2 linked regions of the Arabidopsis thaliana genome follow. The protein of the gene in region 1 interacts with the protein of each later gene in a biochemical or structural test. Each region holds a gene or a part of one and is shown in the gene's direction. Other genes may lie near its edges.

Region 1 (3,758 bases):
TAGGTGATCGGGTATATCTATATATATGTACATTAAATAACAATTTTTTGTATCATCGGACCAAGCTTGTGACGGTGAACAATTGAAATGAATGGAGTATAGAATAATTGTGATTAATAATTGAAAACACATAAAATAACATGATTTGTTAGATCTTGATTAATACTATAATAGAAAGAAGAGAAGTGTGACAACACATGGGATGTACCCAACAACACAAGGGACAGCTTCACCAGTCTGATTTATGCCACTGTCCCGTTCTTGTCCTCCCTCTGCCCCACCACTCCTTTGTTTTATTTCATCAGTAATAATACTACTAATTTTAGTTAGTGTTTAGATTAATCATAATGCAATAAACAAAGAAAAATATCTGATTTTTGGTAGAAAAACATACCAGCAGCTCATATACTATTAGTTCATATTTTTAACCGATAGTTGATTGTTAAAAAGAATGTTGATTCAAGAATTTTGTAAGAATTGCAACATTGTTGAACAACAGTGGCAAAACATACCATAAACTAATAGATACTAGTAACTATGATCACTGATCAAATAATGTATAAATCGGAGATTATTCTATGTAACATTTAACAAAAGTGTATTACAAGTAAATAAAGAATAAACTTTTTAAGTTACGAATGGTAAAAAACTAAAGAAATTTGTTAGTTCTCTGTTTGTATGCATGCATTGTCTCTCTGCTAAAATGTTCATGACAAGTCCACATCTACTCAAATACTCATCGAGGTGATTATCCTCGTCGTCGCTTTTATACACATGTAATATTACACACATCTATACATGGAGTATATTTTTAGCGAACGGATAGGTGCCATGTGGAGGTAAGTACACGTCGCCACTTGTGAGATTCTGTTCCAATTACTTGTGGAAGTGAATTATGTCGCAGAAAAAGTTTGACGAGATTTCCAATTAGCCACTCATTTATTAACGGTCACCAAAAGCATCAAATTACAGTTTTTTTTAGTGCTTTGAGATTCTTTTCCCTGACATATTGTTTTATGTAAAATAGCAAACTCGAAAAGATAGTAATAGTATCCAAATTATTATTATTACAGTATTATTTTTGATAAAAGGTTGTTATTCTTTTTTTATTTTTTTATTTATTGTATCTATTATATAATTCGAAACTGCTATATTGTTTGTCTTTAGTTTGCATCTCTAGCTTTATATATGCTTATGAAGTTTCAAATGTTGCTATTATATGCTGCTGATTCTTTTTTTCTTATGTAGGAGTATAGGTTTGACCGTTTGACAATACGAGAGGAAGAGGAAGTTGGGAAAAAACGACGCCGCATGGATAGTCTCGCTCGTTGCACGAATAGTTCAAAAGGTGACGTTAGGCGCGTGCGGGTCAGCGAAACTTGTGCCTAGTCAGACCTTTGTGGTATAGTCTTACGTGGTCTACGTCTGCCAAATTTCAGAAAACCAAAAAAACAATTATATGTTTGGTCCCTAGAAATAAATATTATCGTCGTTTAGCAAGTTTGAAGTAAGCAATAGTAGTATTAATGTATAAAAAGTGTAGGATATTAGGTTAAAATAGGCCTGTGATAGATACCGTAATGTCTATGATGTGTCTGGTCAGACCCATTTAATATTGGTTCAGACCATATTAGCACATTAGCCAATTGCCATTCACGTTGGGTCCAAACCTTCTTCCTTCTATAGTGTCTTAGACAAGTACGTACACACGCTGAAGTACAAATCATATACAAGTATTTATTCACTTAAAGGTACAATGATTGATGTTTTTTGTGTAACATGTTCCTCTAGTCCACTATATTAATCCATTACGGAGAGAACTATCTAAAAATTGTATAATCGCAATTGTAAATTGCAAATCTATTAACAAAACTAAGATGTGTTCACATGCATACTTCGATAAACATTCTTCCATATATCTTTTGTGTTAAGGCATGTTTTAAATGATCAAATCACATATTGATTTTATTTGAAAGTATATCAATATAATAAACTGTTTAGAAGATGTTTTGCCAAAAAAGAAAAAGATGTTTTGTTCTTCTTGGAAGTGTTTGTTAAAGCCCAAGAGAGACTTCAAGCTCACAATTTCTCAAAGATCCATTAATACTGGGCCTTAGTTAGATATACCAAGCCCATATACTTTCTCTTCACAAATTCCCGTTCTAATACCGGCGCGTCGTGAAATCTAGAGATTTTGCCGTCACCAGAATATGTTAATAAACGCAGGAGGAGATAAATGGATAAACCCAAAAACTGACAAGTGAAAACCTTTTGAAGCCAAAACCCCCTTCAAAATCAAGCTCCATGATAGAAAACCCTCTTCCTACATAATCTCCTGGTAAAACAAAAAGGTTAGTCTTTTTCTCCTCAACTTCGAGTGTGAAGCGTTTGTAAAAATGCCCAAAAAAATCGTACCTTGTTATGGACAATTTGTTGTATCAGGTTCTTCTTATCTGGGTTTTATGTTTTGTACTAGTTTGAAACTGATTCTGAGCATAATTGAATCGGTTGTTTTTGTAAATGATACAGTGAGAAGTAGAAAGAGTGTAAATGGCGTCAATATCAACCACCACCTGGCTCTACCGAGGTCAAGTATGCACAGACAGTGGAAAGTCCAGTAATTGTATTGTGCAGGTTGGTTCTTACACATCAAGTTTCTTGTTCTGATCCAAACTTATCTAATTTAGAGATAGTGAACATTTTAGCTTGTTTCAAGATGTCAAACTGGTAAAAGTTTGTTTATGTATGTAGAGACGGGTTAAATGTGGGTTTCCACTCAAGACATTGCATGCTGGGATTACTTCTAGGGATCGGTCTTTGCGACATTGTATCAAATGCAAGAAAGAGGATGGAGATGGTGATGTAAGTGAAGGGTCTAAGAAGAGTGAAGAAGGATTTGAGTATGTGACTGTTGAGAGGCATCCTTACCATAGTTATATGGATTCAACTTCTGGGAAGCTTGAGCCAGCGTCCGGGGCTCGGGCTAGTATTCCAGGTGAGGATTATTGGCCTGAAGGAACTTCGAGCCGGGTTAGAGCTGCTAGAGCTCCTCAACCAGCTGGTGAGTCTTCGAGTTTTCCTTCCTATGGAAAGAATCCTGGAAGTAGGAGAAAGAAGAATAGGAAAGCTACTGAGGAGAATGTGACTGTTGAAACGAATGACGAAGTATCCGATTCTGAGGATAGCTCTGAAGAAGAGGAAAATGATTCCTCGGATGGGTTTGTTACCTATAAGAATGAATTTGAGAGAGAAGAAGAGGAGACTGGTTTTGAATTAGACAAAAAGCTTGGAAGGCCACATCCTTTCATTGATCCTACGAAAAAGAAACAAATTGAAAAGACACTCACGAGCGATGAATCGTGGTGGAACTGGAGGAAACCGGAGAAAGAACAATGGTCAAGATGGCAAAGAAGACGTCCTGATGTTGAAACGGTTAGTCATCACAATGATTTCAGGTTTAAACATGTGTGTGTTTCCCCAATGTTTGATCCATTATGGTATTTTTTTTTGTTGTTGATGCAGGTTTTCCTCAAGGCAATGGCAGAAACAGGACAAGTGAAGCTCTATGGGGAAGAACCAACACTCACAGAAACTTCTCTTTATAGAGCAAGAAGGCATCTTTTCAAGGAAGAGAGGTATATTGATCTAACGAACTTTCAAGTGAAAATCTGTTTTATTAGGATTTTCTTTCGAGTTTTCTTTCTCTCAGGCTGCAAGCTGAGCGAGAGAGATTAGCGAAAGAAGGTCCAATGGCTTTT
Region 2 (3,758 bases), on another chromosome or scaffold:
CTCAAATTATTCAAGGGATGTGATAAAACTTTAATTAACGTTGAAGAATGATACTTAGCTGGACTTAACATTTTAGTGTCTGGTCTTTGTAAATGATACTCAAAATTGATATTCTGAATGTTAAAGAATGATACTCAAAATTTGAGTGTCTGATCAAAACTTTTTTTTTTACTTCCCAGACAAACTCACCAAAGAAAAAAAGACATTGAACTTTAGAGTTTAATTAAGCTAACAAATGGATCTATAAATTCGTGAATGTGTATTTCAGGAGTGCACAAAGAATATAAAAATATTTTGCAATCTTGACTAATAAAAGTTCTTCTATTCAATAATAACTTTCGAAATTTCTATTCTACAAGAAGTGAGATTTGAATATCCTTGTATGGACCTTCAGAGCTATAATCATCACAAGGTCGGCGGCGGGAGCAGATCGGAGAGACGGAAAAGGCGGAGAGGAAAAAGGCGAGCGGCGGAATTGAAATTCAGATTGAAAACTATAATATAACGAAGAACTTCATGATCCCCTCAGTTTTTGTTATTTCTTATCCACATACTTCTCCGCCGCTTCTAGCCTTTCATTCCTACCACCATCCGTCTACTTCCATCGCCGCCACCGCCGCCTGAATGTTTCAGAACGGTCTCTTATAGAGTTAGGGTTTTGACGTTTTGTTCGGCCCTTTTCTCTGATAAATTTGTATTTTTCGGACTAAACTGGGCCGTATCTTAGGCCCAATAACGCATCTCCACAACACAGTACAATATCTGTTATATGACATGACTTAAAACTTTTGGGCCTTTTCTGATAAATTCAATTTGCTAATGTCATTCTATTTAATGTGATGTTATCTTCATCCTATGAATATGCATATTCATAAATATTTAATGTATGTATATGGTTCCTTAATCAATGATGATTGATAGATTCGTTCCTTCGTCGAAATCTAATGTATATGCATAGAATTAATTCATATATCGGTTTAGAAGATGATGGAATTAATTATCCAACTAGGCGACGACTTATATGTCGACATGAGTTATAAATTCAAATACAACGACATCATTTGAGTCAAATGCAAACAAAAATTATAAGAAAAATAAAATAGCAATCGAAGGGTTTTGGGGTTTTATGATTTATGGCTGGCATCTGTGTAACCGTGTTCCTCTTTGCTTGATTGGGATAACAACGTTTTACATGTATCGTCCACGACGAACGAATCTATCTATCAACTTAATTCATCCAACTAGCAAATAGCAACTTGCATACAAAATAATTTATCAAAAAAAAAAAAAACTTGCATACGGAAGAAAAAGTGTTATTATTCAGCAATTTTCACTAAACTACTCATATTTAAATTCCATATTTTGCACTAAATTACTATTTCTATGGCTGGAAACAAAAACTGAGTTACTTGGCTCATGGCCTTCTATAGCCTTGAATGGACGCTATTACGACCTCGTCTCTTTCGTGGAAAAAGCAAATGAGGGCCAAAGACTTTTAAAGGGAAATGTCTCCTTTCGGTGGATGCTTTCTTCACAAATGCACCCACTATATATGTCTGTCTGTCTACTTGTAAGTTGCAATGTAATATATTCATGAATTTATCATACTAATAATATGTTTGTTTATCATTAGATCGGTAGGGGTTATGCACATTAAACGATAAGATTGATGTGATAAGGGTTAGAAACTGATCTACTGTTAAATTATTGTGATAAGGATCGGAAATTAATGTGATCATAATTTTGGTGGACCATTGTTTGTCTGTGGTCCATGACAAACAAGTCACAACGGTCCACGGTTTATTACGACATTGTGAATTTGTGATTGCATATTTAGGTTCAAAACTGTTATTAATATCCAAAATTTTGTGTATAATTAATAAATTCCAAATTCACAATCAACTAAAAGTTATATGTATAAACTTGCAGTTGTTTAGAGAATGATAATAACACAAAAACTTACGATGGTAGCTTTAACTAGTCAACACGTGAAATAAATGCGATGTGGAAATTTGCCGGGGGAAAAAATGATGACTTCTCAAGATTATTTCCGCTCGGGTTTTAATGAGACTCTGACATGAAATTGAATTCAGATGATTATAAAACGGTTCATATATTCATATAGTAGATGATGATATAAACTCATCGAAGCATCGTAGAAAATAGAGAACTTCAATTTGTTTTTTGTTTACCATTATTAGAGATACTATTCGCTGAAAGAGAAGCATAAGAGGGGTGTTATGATTTGACAAAAACACCCTTAATCATTGGTCAAGACTCAAAGAGTGTTGCAGATAAGGTACAGATCAGAAACCCACCTCTAGAAATCGAGCAATAGATCTCTCTCAACTTCACAGACAAAATCCAACCGAGTTGGTGGGTCTCACTAACTCTTTAACTAGTTGTCTGACAATTCGCCACGTGTCGGTCATCCTGATCAGTTTCAGTACTATTGCCCCCACCGAATCATTATCTCCCCCTCGCTCACTCGCTTACTTACCGTAATAATCTCTCTGCTTCCCTCCTCTAGCTCTTGTCCCTTTCTGTCTGAACCTGGCAAGAAGAACCTTAGCCTCTCTTTCTTCTTTCTCTCTCTCTCTCTCTGTGTTACTGTTCTGTTTCAACTTTACTCCCTCAGTTTCAGAACAATTCCCTATCTAGAAGAGAGATAAAACCGAGAAGGTTTTGGAGATAGAATCTTTTGTTCTTCTTTTGTCCCTCCTTGCTCGATTTTTGTTACGTGTGAAGCAATAAAAAAAAACTGATATAGCTAAATCTTCCATCCATTCAGAGGCTTCTAAATCTGGTAATTACTTTTATAGCTTCCCCTTAGTAAGAGTTTACTATATATAGAATTAGTTGCTTTATTAAATCATTTCCTCCTAGATTGTTGGAGAGGGTTGTTTGGTTTAATTATTTTCTAATCATTAAACTGTTGGGATTTCGAATAATCTTTTCTAAGTTGATTGCTTTCATCATCCTTTTTCCTCAAATCTCCTGTTAATCATTATACTAATTATGAATCAAATCATTTCTTATTCACTTACAAAAAAGTAATATATTCTTTATTTAAGTGTCTTTACAGATCTGACATGGAACAAGTGTTTGCTGATTGGAATTTTGAAGATAATTTTCACATGTCCACTAATAAAAGATCAATCAGGTATATATCAATTTTCCAATTCAAGTATTTCATAATTATATACCAATTTCACATCTTAATCATAGCTATTTAAGTATTGTTTGTTTAAAATATGTTTGTAAACATTCATATGTTGGGACAGACCAGAAGATGAATTAGTGGAGCTATTGTGGAGAGATGGTCAAGTGGTTTTACAAAGCCAAGCTCGTAGAGAACCGTCAGTCCAAGTCCAAACCCACAAACAAGAAACCCTAAGAAAACCCAACAATATTTTTCTTGACAACCAAGAAACAGTACAAAAGCCTAACTACGCTGCTCTAGATGATCAAGAAACCGTCTCCTGGATACAATACCCTCCGGATGACGTCATCGACCCTTTCGAATCCGAGTTCTCCTCTCATTTCTTCTCTTCGATCGATCACCTCGGAGGTCCTGAGAAGCCACGAACGATCGAAGAGACAGTTAAGCATGAGGCTCAAGCCATGGCTCCTCCTAAGTTTAGATCCTCGGTTATAACAGTCGGACCGAGTCATTGCGGCAGCAACCAGTCAACAAATATTCATCAGGCCACTACACTTCCGGTTTCTATGAGTGATAGAAGCAAGAACGTCGAAGA

What was found. Proteins that work in one complex are often made in the same cells at the same time.
Region 2: the proteins of PTAC12 (region 1) and PIL6 form a complex in vitro, tested with the Arabidopsis thaliana proteins (one study listed by BioGRID).

What each region holds. Positions count from the first base shown.
Region 1 is NC_003071.7:14,583,138-14,586,895, reverse strand, and holds the start of PTAC12 (plastid transcriptionally active 12), read left to right. Parts: upstream 1-2,098; 5' UTR 2,099-2,351; intron 2,352-2,529; 5' UTR 2,530-2,550; coding exon 2,551-2,634; intron 2,635-2,751; coding exon 2,752-3,432; intron 3,433-3,522; coding exon 3,523-3,635; intron 3,636-3,709; coding exon 3,710-3,758. UniProt on the Arabidopsis thaliana protein: Involved in plastid gene expression. Acidic transcriptional coactivator necessary for the transactivation of many PIFs target genes (class B genes), particularly during the regulation of hypocotyl growth.
Region 2 is NC_003074.8:21,829,230-21,832,987, reverse strand, and holds the start of PIL6 (phytochrome interacting factor 3-like 6), read left to right. Parts: upstream 1-2,150; 5' UTR 2,151-2,806; exon of another isoform or gene 2,807-3,085; 5' UTR 3,086-3,092; coding exon 3,093-3,163; intron 3,164-3,284; coding exon 3,285-3,758. Other genes in the region: AT3G59070 (Cytochrome b561/ferric reductase transmembrane with DOMON related domain-containing protein), read left to right, coding at 430-624. UniProt on the Arabidopsis thaliana protein: Transcription factor acting negatively in the phytochrome B signaling pathway to promote the shade-avoidance response. Regulates PHYB abundance at the post-transcriptional level, possibly via the ubiquitin-proteasome pathway.